Nothobranchius furzeri: one gene and its partners. The protein of the gene in region 1 purifies or fractionates together with the protein of each later gene. This does not show direct contact. Links are inferred from orthologs where the notes say so. Each region holds a gene or a part of one and is shown in the gene's direction. Other genes may lie near its edges.

Region 1 (4,017 bases):
ATTTCTCATCTAAACCTTACTTTGGAAATTAACTATTTATAGCATCATAATATAGGTTAACTTCATCATCTGAAATCTCTGTTTTCAGTTGTTGTTTATGCTATTTTGTCCAGTTAAAGAAAAGCCAACACATTTTCTTGCTTGCTTAGAAAATGTGCTAGCAAGAGGTGAGACCTCTACGCCAAAACACACAATACCTCTTAGAATTTTACTCAGTGGCCTGTAAAGCCCTGGTTGACGTTTTTAGTGAGTTATTTTCCACCAATTTTGTTTACAGTTAAAGATGTTTTTATATTTATTAGTAAGCCCAAAGATTTTTTAGAAATAATTTTACTAATTAATGACTATGTGAAAAATTATTGTAAAGACGAGTAAATGAAAGTCTCCATCAGTGTATTATTATTGTCGTTATTGAACCCAAATTGTTATCTAGGCCCTTATAATCAGGTCATAGTTTTTAAAAATTTTGTTTTCAAAAGACTGAAGTTCATTTGATGAACACATATTGTATTTACATTTTGTATGTTTATTTTTTACATAAACTTTCAATGTGAATTGTGCAAATAAAAATCTTAAAGCAGAACTATTCTTTGGAATTGTTTGTTTGCGCATTAGTTCTCAGTGATCAACTATAAACAAATGCAACTATTGTAAATATATTTATAATTAACATACTTAATAGTTTTGCTTCATGTAGAATTTCATGTTTAGTTTTGTAAAAATCTGATTGATCTGTGCTCCATTAGTTCTGGCTGAAACTCGCGCGGGAATTCTGCGAACCAGTTCACTGATCCTATATTGCTCTTAAGATGCCCCACTTGGTAGAAGAAGAAAAGTTAATGTGTGTAGCGCCTTTCAAGATAAAAATCACAGTGCGTCAGAGATTTAGGTTAGGGCAGAGCTACTCTAGCTCTGGGTTAGAGTGGCCAAATGTTTCTCTCTTTTATGAACCGTTAAGAATAAACAAAGTTGTTATGTGGTTACAGTGTAACAACTCAACCCTGATTTTTTTCGGTACATTAGAGAAAAATACAAACAGGTGGGGACCACACAGAAGTTTAAAATGGCCAAACGAATCATCATAATGTCTCGAATCATAACGTAAACAAACTAAAACGTAATATACCACAAAGTACATTAAAACAAAGTTAAAACTTACGTGGATTGTAAATCGGAGTCAGAGTGAGACCTCGTCTCGTGAGCTTCCTCTCCAAGTAGCACGCGGGCTGCAGCCGCCGCTCTGCCTGTGATTGTTGTGGTGGCTCCGAGAGTGCATCGGAGAAAGTTGCCCTCTTCATCACGTCGCTTTGTTTGCTTGTTTGCAACATTAAGGAACAATGGCGGACTCCCAAGATGACAAGCTCTACAAGGCGGAATACGCGAAAAGCGGCCGGGCTTCGTGCAAGAAATGCAAAGAGAGCATAGCTAAGGACTCGCTGAGGATGGCCCTCATGGTGCAGGTGAGGAGGTAGCGACGTCTGGAGGGATTTAACCAAGGAACCATTCTGTTATGAAGCCTTTTATAACCGTGCTGATATCTAAATCATATGTGCGCATATAGAGAACCATAATAATCAGACTTTAAACTAATCTAGTGTAGTTTATAAAGGAGTTTGAGTTGTGCTAAGTGAGGCCCCCGGTTAGCATTTAAATGGCTGACTGAATGAATCTGGCTCACAAAGAGCCGCCTGGATCGCCTCAGAGGGACTTAGGACAATGTCTGAGACCCATCCAGTGTGCTGCAGAATACAACTGCTCCATCCTCTCCTCCACTCAAGAGACATAGATAAAAAAAATCACACAAGCAGCTGTTCCAGTCTGTGCAATAGAGAAATAATCATGTAAGAGTCAAACTCCTGCTTATTGGTCAGTCTGTGGGTCCAGATCAGCACTCACCCCTGCAAAAGGAAGGAAAATTCATTACCACTTGCACACATTTAAAGTTTCAGCCACAAAATATAGTCTATATAGTATTTCTTTTGTAACGTCTTAATAGTTACAGTAATGCATATTATCAGGTCAGTGGTTCCTTTTTGTTTTTATTGTTGGAAAACCCAACCGTGTGTTGTGTATTTTCTGCAAAATATGTCAATTTTTTTTTAGTTCTGGCTGCATGAAACATTGACATTCTTGTGAATATGTTTATTTGTTATACTTGTTTAAATAAGTAAGTCAGAATTATTATCTGTAGTTTTAAAGACAAAATTGTGAAAACCCTTGTTTACAAATTCATGATTTTATTTTTAACGTGAGTAAAATCTGAATTTTTTTAATGCACAAAAAACGTTTGTCATGTAAAACCAGAAAAATTCCATCCATCCATTTTCATCCGCTTATCCGGAGATGGGTAGTAGCCAGTAGCCGAAGTCAAGAGGCCCAGACTTCCCTCTCCCCAGCCACTTGGGCCAGCTTCTCTGGTGAAATCCCAAGGCGTTCCCTGGCCAGGTGAGAGACATAGTCCCTCCACCGTGTCCGGGGTTTACCTTAAGGGCTCCTCCTGGTTGGACGTGCCCAGAAAACCTCACCAGGCAGGACTGCGGGTTCCCGTCAGCTGCCTCTGGAGTCCCACAGGCCAAAAAGACCTGTTAGGACTCTTTCTTCAGCTTGACGGCATCCCTAACCGCCGGTGTCCACAAGCGGGTTCGGGGGTTGCCACCACGACAGGCACCAACGATCCTGCGACCACAGCTCCGGTCGGCCGCCTCAACAAAAGAGGCACGGAAAAGAGTGCATTCAGACTCGATGTCCCCCGCCTCCCCCGGAACATTTTGGAAGTTCTGTCGGAGGTGGGAATTGAAGCTCCTTCTGACAGGAGACTCTGCCAGACGTTCCCAGCAGACCCTCGCGATACGTTTGGGCCTGCCTGGTCTGACCGGTATCCTCCCCCACCATCTGAGCCAACTCACCACCAGGTAGTTGTCAGTTGCCTGCTCCGCCCCTCTCTTCACCCGAGTGTCCAAGACACGCGGCCGCAGGTCAGACGAAACGACAACAATCCATGACTAGCACAGAAATCCAACAACAAAACAACATTCAAATTCAGAAACCAGAAAAATTCAAACAGAAAAACCTTTATTCTCACTTTAATGGTTTTGTTTTTTTTTTTCATCTTTTTTTTCTGATATTTGCTGTTGCTTCATTGTCTTGTTTTTGTCCTCCAGTCCCCGATGTTCGATGGGAAAGTCCCACACTGGCACCACTTCTCCTGCTTCTGGCAGCGAGCGGCAGCTCAGACTGAAGCAGACATCGCCGGGTTCTCCACTCTTCGCTGGGAGGACCAGCAAAAAGTCAAAAAGGCTATTGAGACTGGAGGAGCTGTCGGAGCAGGTCGGTGGTAGATCTTTAATTATTGTGTTCAGCGCCTTGTTTGGTTGTAATGCCTTGTGAATGCGCTTTATAAATAAAATTGGATTGGATCGTAAGCAAAAGAGCTTAAGATAGCTACTTTCAATTGGTTTAACTTTGTCTTATTAGCCAGATAAAAAAGTGAAGTGATCCATAAAAAGTCAAAAGAGTGCCATTTCTCAAGTTGTTCTAAATGTTTTTAATTTATCATTTACTATTAATGCATATTTTTTTTAAATGTTTAGACTTATTTTCCTTTGCATCTTGCAGGGAAAAGTGATTCAAAAGGTGCCGCTCAAGGGGCCAAAACTCTGAATAACTTTGCCGTGGAGTACGCCAAGTCGAACCGCAGCACGTGCAAAGGCTGCGAGCAAAAAATAGAAAAGGTCCGCAGCACAGGAAATGTCTTAATCAATAACCGTTGAACACGTGTCATAAATACTTCACATGTCTGCCGTATTTTTGCTTCTCTTTCAGGATCAGATTCGTGTTTCCAAGAAAACGGTTGACCCAGAGAAACCTCAGCTGGGTCTGATCGACCGCTGGTACCACACGGCGTGCTTCGTGAGCCGCAGGGAGGAACTGGTGTTTAAGCCCGATTATTCCGCCGCCCAGCTGAAGGGATTCGACGCGCTGCGCGCCGAAGACAAGAACGATCTTAAGAAGAGGCTC
Region 2 (2,967 bases), on another chromosome or scaffold:
AATTACTTTTAAAATTCATGTTTAATCGCATAAAAAGCAGAGAAGATGGTGTATTTATCGTAATTTTGTGTGATAATTATTTTCTGTGGAATATCATAACTATGGTTTGATTTTGATAGTTCAGTCAGCAGGCATCTCGTGCTGGGCAATAAGCTTAATCTGTAAAAAATAAAAAATAAAAATAAAGAAAGACTATCAACTTTAAAAATAAACATGTCGGTAAACGATTTACAATGATCAGGTATAGCTGAGTTGCAGCAGCTCAGTGCTTCACTAAGAAAACATATTTTACAACAAACAGTCACACATTTGATTAATTTATATTACACAAACAGCAAAATGTTGTATTTAGGAGAATTATTGTCATAAACATATTTAATTCAATCCACTTGGACTGTCAGGGTTCAGCTCAGGCAATTAGAACCAAGTTTAAGAGTTTTTTATACGTGGAACTGCTCTCAGGGCTGGAAAAAAAATATTAACAACTAGACACACAAAATGATAATTGCTGCAGCAATCAGAACCAATTGTAAAACTGTACATATGATTTTTTTTCTCTTATAAAAACCTCATTTGAAATAACTGCAATAATTTTGGGACCTCATAACAACCAAAATCAATTATTCAATTACTGTGTTTTTAAATAAATATTTAATCTGATTAAATATTATCAAATGGACATGCCAAACATTAAGCCAGTACTGTATGGACAATACTGTCAAACTAATTAAAAATGCAGAACAGATCAAAACCACTCTCCTGCCTGAAAGCACACATACATATACATGTAGTGATATGTGAATGTAATTTGAAAAAGTGGCTGTAAAATTCAAGATGTGAGGCCCCAGTTATATTTTGAAAATGTAATTTATTGCAAATAAATTATTTTTCAACCCTAATGTTGATTGTGCACTTAGTTAATATGGTCTTGTTTTTGTAAAAGGTATATATTTTTACCAGTAAAATGGTTATTTGCTGAGCTGCCTAGGATTAGCTTCGTCTCAGTGGGGGAGGATGGTGGAATTTTCCATGTCTTGCTGGCCCTCCCTCACACAGTTTGTGCAGTGTAAGCTTACTTCAAGCACATTTTGCGCATTTTAATAAATTGTCCTCATGTATAATTGTGATACATGTGTCACCACATTTCGATCTTGGTCAAAAACCCTGACAACATTATTCAATACTTTACTGTATCAATACTCATTAAATCGCTTGAAATGTTCACTTTTCGTTCGGTAACGCGCCAAAACGTTTAAAGCTGGAGGGAAGACCGTCTATTGGTCTTCCTTCTGACACGTGACCCGCGTGAAACTGGGTGAACAAATAAACAACCAATTACCTTTGTCTATTGGTCAGACTCCTCGATGATTGGTGTAGAGCCAGAGCAGCCAAACCAATAGTTACTGGCTTCCTGGAACGTTTGATCTCCTAAAGCCAAACAAATGAGAGCTTCTCTCTCTAGCATCCAATAGTAGTTTGGGGCGGGACTAACGTGGAGGCTTATATATGGCTCGGCGAGCCTTTTTTCTTTCTACTTTGCGATTTTCTGCATTGAAATCATATTCGTGGAAGAGATCTTCAACAATGTCTGGAAGAGGTAAAACCGGTGCTAAGGCCCGCGCCAAGGCGAAGACCCGCAGCTCCCGCGCCGGTCTGCAGTTCCCTGTGGGCCGTGTTCACCGTCTCCTCCGCAAGGGAAACTATGCTGAGAGAGTGGGCGCCGGAGCTCCTGTTTACCTGGCTGCGGTCCTCGAGTATCTCACCGCCGAGATCCTGGAGCTGGCTGGCAACGCCGCTCGGGACAACAAGAAGACCCGAATCATTCCTCGCCACCTTCAGCTGGCTGTCCGTAACGACGAGGAGCTGAACAAACTGCTCGGTGGCGTGACCATCGCTCAGGGAGGCGTGTTGCCTAACATCCAGGCCGTCCTCCTGCCCAAGAAGGCCGGCCAGGCAGCACCCAGCTCCGGCAAGGCGGGAAAGAAGGCGTCCTCTCAGTCTCAGGAGTATTAGCTTCACGGCTAACCACAATGAACCCAAAGGCCCTTTTAAGGGCCAACCACCGACCGAAAGGGCAACTTTTCTAGTTTATCAATGTCGCTCAAAGCATATTTTGTTTGGGTTATTGAAGGCTTGTGTTAAGGTAATTTCTTTCAGGCTAGATCCTTTGCTAAGAAACAAGATTAGGCTAAATTTCCCCAGTTAGCCTGAAATGTCACTTGAAAATCTTCATCCTGAGTTTATTTTTCATCCTTGAATGTTATTTAAAGTAGCAACTCTTCTGCAACTGACCAGATCCAATGCTAGCTGCACACACTGGCAACTAAACATTTGTTATGCATTGCACTCAGGTTCTCAGGGCTGCTGTATGTTTTCATCATGTGAAACGCCTGTTCACAACAAAACGGTTTCATTAAAAGTTCTGCAAGACAACATCTGTCACCTGGAAACGTGTTTGTGTGGTGGTGAAGTCTCAAATGAAATGTACTAACGGCTGTCTATTCAAGCAGCTCCAGGTGTTTCCTTATTGCACATGGAGAAAAACACGCGAGCAGATAGTGTTAACATTCATGGCTTCCTCTGTGGTTTCTTTTACACGTTTTTCAGTTCTTGTCCCTGTACCACTGACTCAACTTACTGGACTGAGGGGTGATGAGCAGTCCGATAAAAACTAACTTCAGAATCCCTGCAGAAAAAATAATAGTACTTGCAAAGTAGTAAATTGCCTGTATTTGTATAGCCCTTTTACCCCAACCCCCCCCACACACACACACACACACACACACACAGTCATTCACCCATGCACGCACATTCACGCTGGTGGTGATGGAGATCCGGTGTAGCTACAGCTGCCCTAGGGAACACTGGCAGAGGCGAGGCCTGTTGTACACTGGTTCCTCCGACCACCACCAGACAAGGTGGGTTAGTCGTCTTGCCCGTGGACACAACAGCAGCATTCTCTGACAG
Region 3 (4,313 bases), on another chromosome or scaffold:
TCTGCTTTGGTCTGGTCTGCACGGGGGTCGGGTTTGGAGGGCCCCTGAGCAGCAGGGTGTGTCTTCTTCCATCGGCTCCCTGAACACTGACACACAGGATAAAAAAAACAAAACAAAACTGTAATGGCAACCCTTTCCTCCATGCTCCTCCTGTCTGCATGGGCTGCAGCAAGCAAATGCTGCTTTCACCTCATCCAGATAAAGAGCATCAATGATGGGCACCTGCTTTCATGGAACTGCCTGGTTCTGGGCGTGTTAGGCTCCCAGCACCTTGGTGCTGCACGTAATTCCCTATCAGCGCTTTCTGACAACACTGCTGACAGCAGATACAGAGGAATTAGTGTCATAATATTTGTTTTCACACGCCTTACGCCATGAAGACACGAGACAATATTTTTAATCAACAATTCAGTGACTTGTTTTGATCTTGCTCCTTTTTTCATTTCTGCAAGGCGGTGTCATCTGGATGCTTTAGCTCCGTTTCTTGTTGCCAAAGGTGAATTAATTGATGTTTTTGTGATTGTTGCTCTAGATTGAACCAGATAAGAGAAAACTGATGAGATAGTGTCAGCTGCTGTGATTAAACTGCAGGTTTGTGATGCTTAGGTGTTACATTTAAGATGTTTTTGCATTTTTATTCATCAGGTGTTTTTTTTCTTTATTGCATAGAACATGAGAAAAGTTAATAAGATTTGTTTTTGTCACAACAAATTTAATTAATATAAAATTAATAAAAACAAACCATAAAACCATCTTATATACTTTTTTCCATTTCATGTGCAGCAATTTTATTTCTAGATCACCAAAAACACTCAAATTTTCTGTCTTTTAAAGGTCCATCCAGACTAAAATAAGACAGAGCTGCAGCATCTGAGTCTGCATCCGTCTCTTTGTGTCCAGTAGCCTGGCTGCTGAGGAGGAAAGAGAAGAAGAGGGAAAAATAAAAACAGCTCAGTCTGTGCTGCCTGTGAGGAATTCAGGTTAGTCCCAGAGGACATCACACCTGTCGAGAAAGTAGGATGCAATAACACCCTCCATCCCAAAAAATAGATCTAAGGAAACATTAGCCAACATAATGAAAAATAGATCTAAGGAGCTGACAAAGCAGATGAAATAAGAATCGCTAACAGTTCTGAGTAATGTTGCTTTGATAGGCTCTGAGTATTTAAGCATCTGAATTTGCCAGAAGAATAAAAAAAACACATTTTTATTTAAACATGTAACATTAACTTTATTTAGCTGGGAAGTGTCAGCCAGGAGTAGGAGGGTGAAACAGCCGGAGGAAGCGCCCTCTTTTCCTTTCTTTCTCCCTCCTTCCACCGGGAGACCGCCCATATGTGCGTTTAATCCACATTTGCAAGCATCCTCCTATCTTCCTGCTATTTCACCCTCACTGTCCTGTTCCCAAACTGCCTTTTTCCCTCCTCACATGCCTTTTCTCTGCAGTCGTCCCCCCGCCCCCCCCCCTCTCTCCCTTTCAGTTTTTTTTCTTTCCTCCTATTTATGAAAACGTCACTTCAAGTCCCTCCCTGTTTGAATCTCATTAGTTTCTTGTGTGTTTCTCCCTGTCAATAATCCTGAATCCAGACTCTCTCTATTTCCATCCCTCTCTATCTGTCAATCAGCGCCGCCTTTGAACTGAAAACCACTCCGACCAACTTCAACTCACTCAATCCGGGCGGCTCGGCTCCTTCTCCGGCTTCCTTTTTCTGCCAAGATTCCCCCCTTCTTTTTTTCTTCTTATATAGTTTTCTACCAACCGCCAGAGCTTTGGAAAACGCCAATACAAGACCCCGCGTTTTTCTTTTATATAAAAAAAAACTTAAACTCGGACTACCGAGATCGCCGAGATCAAGGGTTTGAAAGTTTGTGTTGTGCCCCGGTCAGGAGAGCTTTCTGCACGGGAAACATGCCGCAGCTCAACGGCGGTGGAGGGGACGATCTGGGTGCGAACGATGAAATGATTTCCTTCAAAGACGAAGGGGAGCAGGAGGAGAAAATTTCGGAGAACTCCTCGGCAGAAAGGGATTTAGCAGACGTCAAATCTTCTCTCGTAAACGAGTCGGAAACGAATCAGAACAGCTCCTCGGATTCAGAGGTAAGTTTCGGATCGATCCCCGCTGAAGTTAGTCACAAAACAGAGGCCCTTGCATTTCCTAATTTTTAATGAAGAGTTTGGAAGGAGAAGTTCTCCAGCACCCTCGAGTTTAACGCAATCCTTGTGTTTCATTGCATTTCAAGGCGGAAAGACGGCCTCCGCCTAGATCTGAAACTTTCAGAGACAAAACGAGAGAAAGTTTAGAAGAGGGTGAGTTACTTTGGCTTGTTTTCTTCTTTTAACATTACATAAAATGTGCCTGACGGAGAGGGAATCTCCTCTCTAACTCAAATGTAGTTTTCAGGAAATTAAAAACTTTCCATGGCCACTTTAAAAAAGGTTTTCCTCTTTTTTTTCTCCCCCCACCCCCCCGCCATGTTAGCTGCGAAAAGGCAAGATGGAGGGCTGTTCAAGAGCCCACCGTACCCGGGCTATCCATTTATAATGATTCCCGACCTCACAAGCCCCTACCTTCCCAATGGATCACTTTCTCCAACAGCACGAACAGTAAGTTCATTTAATTTTCAGCTGGATTTCTACACACATTCCTCACCCACAGATACACACACACTGTGTCCCCGAGTCGGGGTTTGTTTTGTCACCCAGAAGAGCTGCTGCCGACAAAGCCAAGTTTTCCCAACTGTTCCTGAAGTGGACAGTACGGCGGCACGCGCTCTAAAAAATAAAAACTTTATTAAATGTCTCTCAATCTCAGATTTAGCAATTTTGGAATGAAACACACGGCGATATTCAAATTTTTGTTCTTCCTCTTAATAAAATTTTTGCTGTGCGCCAGTAAAAACCCAGTTAAAATGAATTATTATTATTATTTTTAATTTAATTTAAAAACAACACTGCTGAATAATGCAGTTGATTCGTGCTAGCATAGCCTCATTTAAAATGCCCTTTTTTCTAACACAAGCATGGCTCTGACACAGTAAGCAGTGTAAAACCACACCAATAAAATAAATATGCAAATGAGTCTTTTCTGGGTGATTTGCATGTGACTGAAACGTGAAAGGAAATTTTATGAAAGGTGCACTTGAGTAAGCCCACATTAACTGTTATATTATAACATATATAAAAATATTTTAAAAGTTGTAATTTGTTTATCTGATTGGATTGCGCAGCTCTGCTTTGTTGAGCATGTGTGCCACCCTTTGCTTCCTGGAGGTGTCCACAGCCTTTACCCAACGCATGCTGATCTAAAGCCACATTTCTAAATATTTTCATGTTAGTTATTTAGTCACAATCAGCCATTCTGTAATTATGCACCTCACTGGTCCCACAGGGGGATGGATACCTTAAAGCAGAATCATTTTCTCAACCATGAACCTTTAAAAAACAAACAAACAAAAAACTTGTGTTAAATGACTGCAATTACAAGTCTTTGCTTTAGGAGCTGTCATCTTATTTTACAAGGTTAAGGCGAAGACCAGGCCGTAGGAAATATGACCCACTAACTCAGCTTTGCTTAGCCAGATTTGTTACCTTCTGTGTTTTGTGTGTGTGTGTGAGTGTGTGCGCGCCCTGCATGTGCACACCTTGAAAATGAGCTCACACCTGACACATAATGCCTTCTTTTGTGTTTGACACAATTTCAGCTCTTGACTCAGTCGCCCATGGGCTCACGTGAAATAATTTGATCATTATTTATGAACGTTTTTCGCTGCTATGACCAATATGTTTTTACCACATGAGAAGGTTTTTGCTGTTTTTATTTTATTTCTAATCCTGCCTCTGTCTCTGCATGGTCCGGCCCTGGTTAACGCTGCTGCAGCCGGCTGGTATGTGGTGGGAATTAGTCACTGGTTGTTCTCATCAGCGCTGACACTAACACACGTTCACCACGGCTCTCGTGATTTTAAGTGAAGGACTTCCTTTTCTCAGTAGCAGAGTTTATTGGTTTTTCCTCTTTCTCTGTGTGTGTGTGTGTGTGTGTGTGTGTGTGTGTGTGTGTGTGTGTGCGTGTGTGTGTGTGTGTCCTGTTGCAGGTTTGCACAGCGCTCCTTTTGTTGTGCAGCTCAAATATGTGCATTCTGTCCAAGAGATGCTGCTGATCAGACTGCGTTGCCCTTTAATTTCTGTTTTCACACACAATAAAAAAAAAGAATTATATTTATCTTGCCTTACACCATCTGTAACATTTCCACACCTTGCAGGAAAAATCCGGACTAATTGTGCATATTTGCAGACAAACGTTATCCAGCCGACT
Region 4 (4,195 bases), on another chromosome or scaffold:
TAGACAAGGTGGTGTAGGGGTCAGAGCAACAAGGGAGGTGCAGGGTGCTGATCCAGAGACAGGCATCTACCTGGAGGTCCTCTGAACTGTTTCTTCTCATAAAATAATGATTAAAAATGGTTCCGAACTCCGGAGGATCAGTCATTCATGTTTCCCGCCACATGTTGCTGCAGCATTCACTGATTCAGATATCTGGAATCTTGTTGAGCTTAAGCACTCTTACAATTTTTGTTACGTCAGTAATTTTTCTTTTCAGCCCAAACGTTTTACTAGTCAGATGATCTTAAAGTTCAACTTCTGATTAAACTTTAGGACAACCGGTGTTATGATACTTTGCACCAATCCCACAGACTGGCTTTAACCCTTCTGATGATAAAGTGAAATTTTTCGTTTTATGGATGTTTTTTGTTTGTTTGTTTTTGCCCGTGATAATTAATTTGAGCATTAATAAAGTTGTTATTGAATATAAAACATTTTGAAATAAAGAATCACTGCTTTTATGTTTGGGCAGGAATGTAAAAACTGTGATTGTATTAACTTTTTTCCTCACAACTTTATTTTACAATAATCAAAAACATTTGGTGTTCTTTTATATCATTGTCCAAGAAAAAGCAAAATAAACAGCTTCAGTCGATAACTATTTTCAGATTTAGAACATTTTCAGTTAAGTATATATGACATATACTGAAAACAATTGATATGACAATAAAAGTGGGTTGTTATTATTAGCAAAAATATGAACAAAACAACAGAAATAATTTAAATTTAAAAGATTAAATACAATAAATAACTAATAGTACTACACAGTATTAAAATAACATTTTATATTTACATGCAGGCCCGAGCAGGGTCACGCGCGCGAACCGAACCAGTCAGTCAAACATCTCTTTGGCTTAGTAGCCAGCCAGGGCGCATATCAATCGGGACACTGTGACAGGACGCTCACACTGCCACACATTTAAATACTAAAATAATTCTGCCCTAAAATTTATAAAATAAAACACATTTTCAGGATATAAACAAAAGAAAAGTAAGTTAACATTTTTAAATCTTTAAAACTATTTATTAGTGATGTCTCAGTTCACAGTTCTCCCGTTTGGGGGCGCTCACGTGTGTAAAGTAATTATGGTAAAAGAAGAAGAAAAAGAAACGCTCTCATTGGACAGAAAATCGGTTGTTTGGAAGTTACGTCAGGTTGTCAAATGTGCAGCCTTTTGGTGGGAAAATGTGGACACCCTTTCGCTCGTTTTACGTTAAATTAAGCGTGTTAACACGAAAATTCAGTAGTTTACTTTGCTGACAAAGAAACGGGTATTTGTCAAGCATACAGCAGTGTAAACATTTTGTGCGCAGCAGTCATTTAAATACAACGAATTACCAAACGAATGAGGAAAAGTTCACTATCTATTGTTTGCTAGCATGCTATCAGCTTAGTCAACAGCTTGTTTAACGCAGACTAACGAGAGAAGTACAGCCACTAAACGAAATCTGGTTTCGTTTTATGTGTCTTGAACCTGATACGGATTCGCTAGATCTTTAAAGCGCTCGGTTGACGGTTTTTATGGTTAAGTAAGTTTGAACTTGTCAAAATATGCCAGAAATCCAACTGAAACATGTCGTGTCCTGCAGCTCAGAGGACAGTGTAAGTTTTTTTTTGTATCATGTAAAGTCGATGTTCAGCTGCTGTTGAGCTTCCACTAAACCCACTTTCAACATAAAACAGACGCATAAAGCAGACAATCTCCTGAGCTCAGACACCTACAGAAAGTGGAAAGCAGCAAGACCCGGAGAGAAACAGACATCAGTCATTCTGCAGGTTGGTTTTTGGCCCTTTTGATGTCAAATGTCGGTAGTTTGTTTTTATTTGCCCAGGTGACACTGAACAGAGATATTTAAATCAGGCTTTTATTTCAGTTGTAAATCCTAGAAAATGCTTAAATTATAGAATGATGTTTTTAGGGTTTTGAAAGAGATGGATCTTTAAGCATGCGTTTGAACTCAACTTTAATTGACATATCTGAATGTAGCACAATAACATTTTAAAGTCAAGTGATTTGAGCATGTTCATGTGCTGATCATTAAATTAGAATTTCATGAAAAAGGTAATTACTTTTAAAAGTGAAACTTGTATATTAGATGCATTCTTAACACACGGACTGATGTATTTCAAATGTTTATTTCTTCAATTTTGATGATTATAACTGACAACTAATGAAAATCCCAAATTCAGTATCTCAGGATATTAGAATATTGTGAAAATGTTCAATATTGAAGGCCCCCAGGTGCCACACTCTAATCAGCCAAAAAAAAAGAGCCTTTTAATGGTCTCAGTCTTGTTCTGTAAGCTACAGAACCATGGGGAATACTGCTAACTTGACAGTTATTCAAAAGATGACCATTGACATCTTCCACAAGGAGGGCAAGACACAAACGGTCATGATAAGGAGGCTGGTTGTTCACAGAGCTCTGTGTCCAAGCACATTAATAGAGAGACAAAAGGAAGGACAAGATGTGGTAGAAAAACTTGTAATAGCAATAGGGGTAACTGCACCCAGGAGAGAATTGTGAAACAAAACCCATTAAAAAATGTGGAGATTCACTAAGAGTGGACTGCAGCTGGAGTCAGTGCTTCAAGAACCACCCACACACAGACATATTCAAGAAATGGGCTTCAGCTGTCGCATTCCTTGTGTCAATCCACTTTTGAAGAAATGACCGCTTCAGAAGCGTCTTGCCTGGGTTAAAGACAAGGACTGGACTGCTGCTGAGTGATCCAAAGTTATGTTCCTTTGGAAATCAAGGTCCCAGAGTCTGGAGGAAGAGAGGAGAGAAACATAATCCGCATTGCTTGAGGTACAGTGTAAAGTTTCCACAGTCATTGATGGTTTGGGGTGCAGTGTCATCTGCTGATGTTGGTCCATTGTGTTTTCTGAGGTATAAGGTCTACGTAGCTGTCTACCAGGAAGTTTTAGAGCACTTCATGCTTCCTGCAGCTGACCAAATTTATGGAGATGCAGATTTAATTTTCCAACAGAACTTGGCACCTGCACACAGGGTCAGTGACCATGGTATTCCCGTTCTTGATTGACCAGGAAACTCACTTGAACACCTATGGGATATTGTGAAGAGGAGGATGCAATATCCTGGACTAGGCCTGGGCAATAAATCAATTGAATGAATTAATTCGAATTTTTTGTTGCGGGTGATTTAAAAAAAAAGTGTAATTTATGTAATAGCGCCTTTTTGGCCCTCCGGAACTTCCGTAGCATTAGTTTCACAGTTTATTTCTGCAGCGAGCCTTAAAAACTCACCTCACACCACCCAGAGTTTCTTCTTTAAAACGAACGTGCTTCCTGGGTGTTTGGTTGTAGGTTGAAAACTTTACATCAGTTGTCAAGGGGAAAGTTCAGCAGACGTGTTTGTTTACATTTTTGCTGCTGCGTGCCTGCAGTGTGAGAGAAGGGAGACAGGTGACGCTCCGTTCAGCATCTCTACAGACTCCAGAAGCAGCGACAGCCAGCTGGTTTGATCCGCTCTGAAAGGTGTTGGTCAGAATTTGCACATCGCCTTTTTTTTTACAGAGACTGGGCGCGTGCAGCCATCATGCGTCACTCAATTCAGTGTCCGTGCAGAAACTCATGTAGGAATTTTTATCCGCTGCACTTGAATCACACCAATAAATATTCATTATTTAACGGAAAAAATAAACCGAAACGATACGCAAGTGGACCGAACCGAAACGGTTTAACACTCCCTCGTGAACCGTTACACCCCTAGTCTTAATTGATATTCAAATTTTCTGCGATACTGAACTTTGGATTTTCATTAGTTGGCCGTTATAATCAACATTAAAGGTGCAGTATGTAAGAATATAGGGAGAATTTTACAGTGAGAAAATCCCAAAAGAGTAATGTTTCAGTCATTTTGGAAGGAAGATTATACTGAAACGTATTTCATATCCAGCTGGCTGTGGGGATTGTCAGCTTTTCTCATGTCTTAACAAAGGAAGGAGGAACGTGACTGCTGTTTACCATCAGTGAGTGTGGGGTTGCCGTGTCTCCTGTGAGCTAATACTGCTGCGCCGACAATTGTAATTTGACAACGGCCAGCAAAAAATCTCCAGAGTTGTTTAAAATGGTTGCGGTGCAGTAAACAAATATTACCACATTTTTACTTCATTTCTACATAATGCACC

Evidence for each region.
Region 2: the proteins of parp1 (region 1) and h2ax purify together in Homo sapiens (affinity purification with mass spectrometry; 9 studies listed by BioGRID and IntAct, counting the BioPlex papers as one, with this or other methods). This does not show direct contact. The link is inferred for Nothobranchius furzeri from reciprocal best matches to the Homo sapiens genes PARP1 and H2AX.
Region 3: the proteins of parp1 (region 1) and tcf7l2 purify together in Homo sapiens (affinity purification with mass spectrometry; 3 studies listed by BioGRID and IntAct, with this or other methods). This does not show direct contact. The link is inferred for Nothobranchius furzeri from reciprocal best matches to the Homo sapiens genes PARP1 and TCF7L2.
Region 4: the proteins of parp1 (region 1) and xrcc1 purify together in Homo sapiens (affinity purification with western blotting; 9 studies listed by BioGRID and IntAct, with this or other methods). This does not show direct contact. The link is inferred for Nothobranchius furzeri from reciprocal best matches to the Homo sapiens genes PARP1 and XRCC1.

The regions. Positions count from the first base shown.
Region 1 is NC_091742.1:4,979,732-4,983,748, forward strand, and holds the start of parp1 (poly [ADP-ribose] polymerase 1), read left to right. Parts: upstream 1-1,213; 5' UTR 1,214-1,337; coding exon 1,338-1,460; intron 1,461-3,161; coding exon 3,162-3,327; intron 3,328-3,615; coding exon 3,616-3,731; intron 3,732-3,822; coding exon 3,823-4,017. UniProt on the Homo sapiens protein: Poly-ADP-ribosyltransferase that mediates poly-ADP-ribosylation of proteins and plays a key role in DNA repair.
Region 2 is NC_091750.1:47,427,489-47,430,455, forward strand, and holds h2ax (histone H2AX), read left to right. Parts: upstream 1-1,483; 5' UTR 1,484-1,506; coding exon 1,507-2,013; 3' UTR 2,014-2,435; downstream 2,436-2,967. UniProt on the Homo sapiens protein: Variant histone H2A which replaces conventional H2A in a subset of nucleosomes. Nucleosomes wrap and compact DNA into chromatin, limiting DNA accessibility to the cellular machineries which require DNA as a template.
Region 3 is NC_091756.1:39,558,249-39,562,561, reverse strand, and holds the start of tcf7l2 (transcription factor 7-like 2), read left to right. Parts: upstream 1-1,481; 5' UTR 1,482-1,909; coding exon 1,910-2,098; intron 2,099-2,241; coding exon 2,242-2,308; intron 2,309-2,480; coding exon 2,481-2,605; intron 2,606-4,313. UniProt on the Homo sapiens protein: Participates in the Wnt signaling pathway and modulates MYC expression by binding to its promoter in a sequence-specific manner. Acts as a repressor in the absence of CTNNB1, and as activator in its presence.
Region 4 is NC_091745.1:68,574,866-68,579,060, reverse strand, and holds the start of xrcc1 (DNA repair protein XRCC1), read left to right. Parts: upstream 1-1,363; 5' UTR 1,364-1,591; coding exon 1,592-1,642; intron 1,643-1,723; coding exon 1,724-1,816; intron 1,817-4,195. Other genes in the region: sialic acid-binding Ig-like lectin 5, read left to right, coding at 1-85. UniProt on the Homo sapiens protein: Scaffold protein involved in DNA single-strand break repair by mediating the assembly of DNA break repair protein complexes. Negatively regulates ADP-ribosyltransferase activity of PARP1 during base-excision repair in order to prevent excessive PARP1 activity.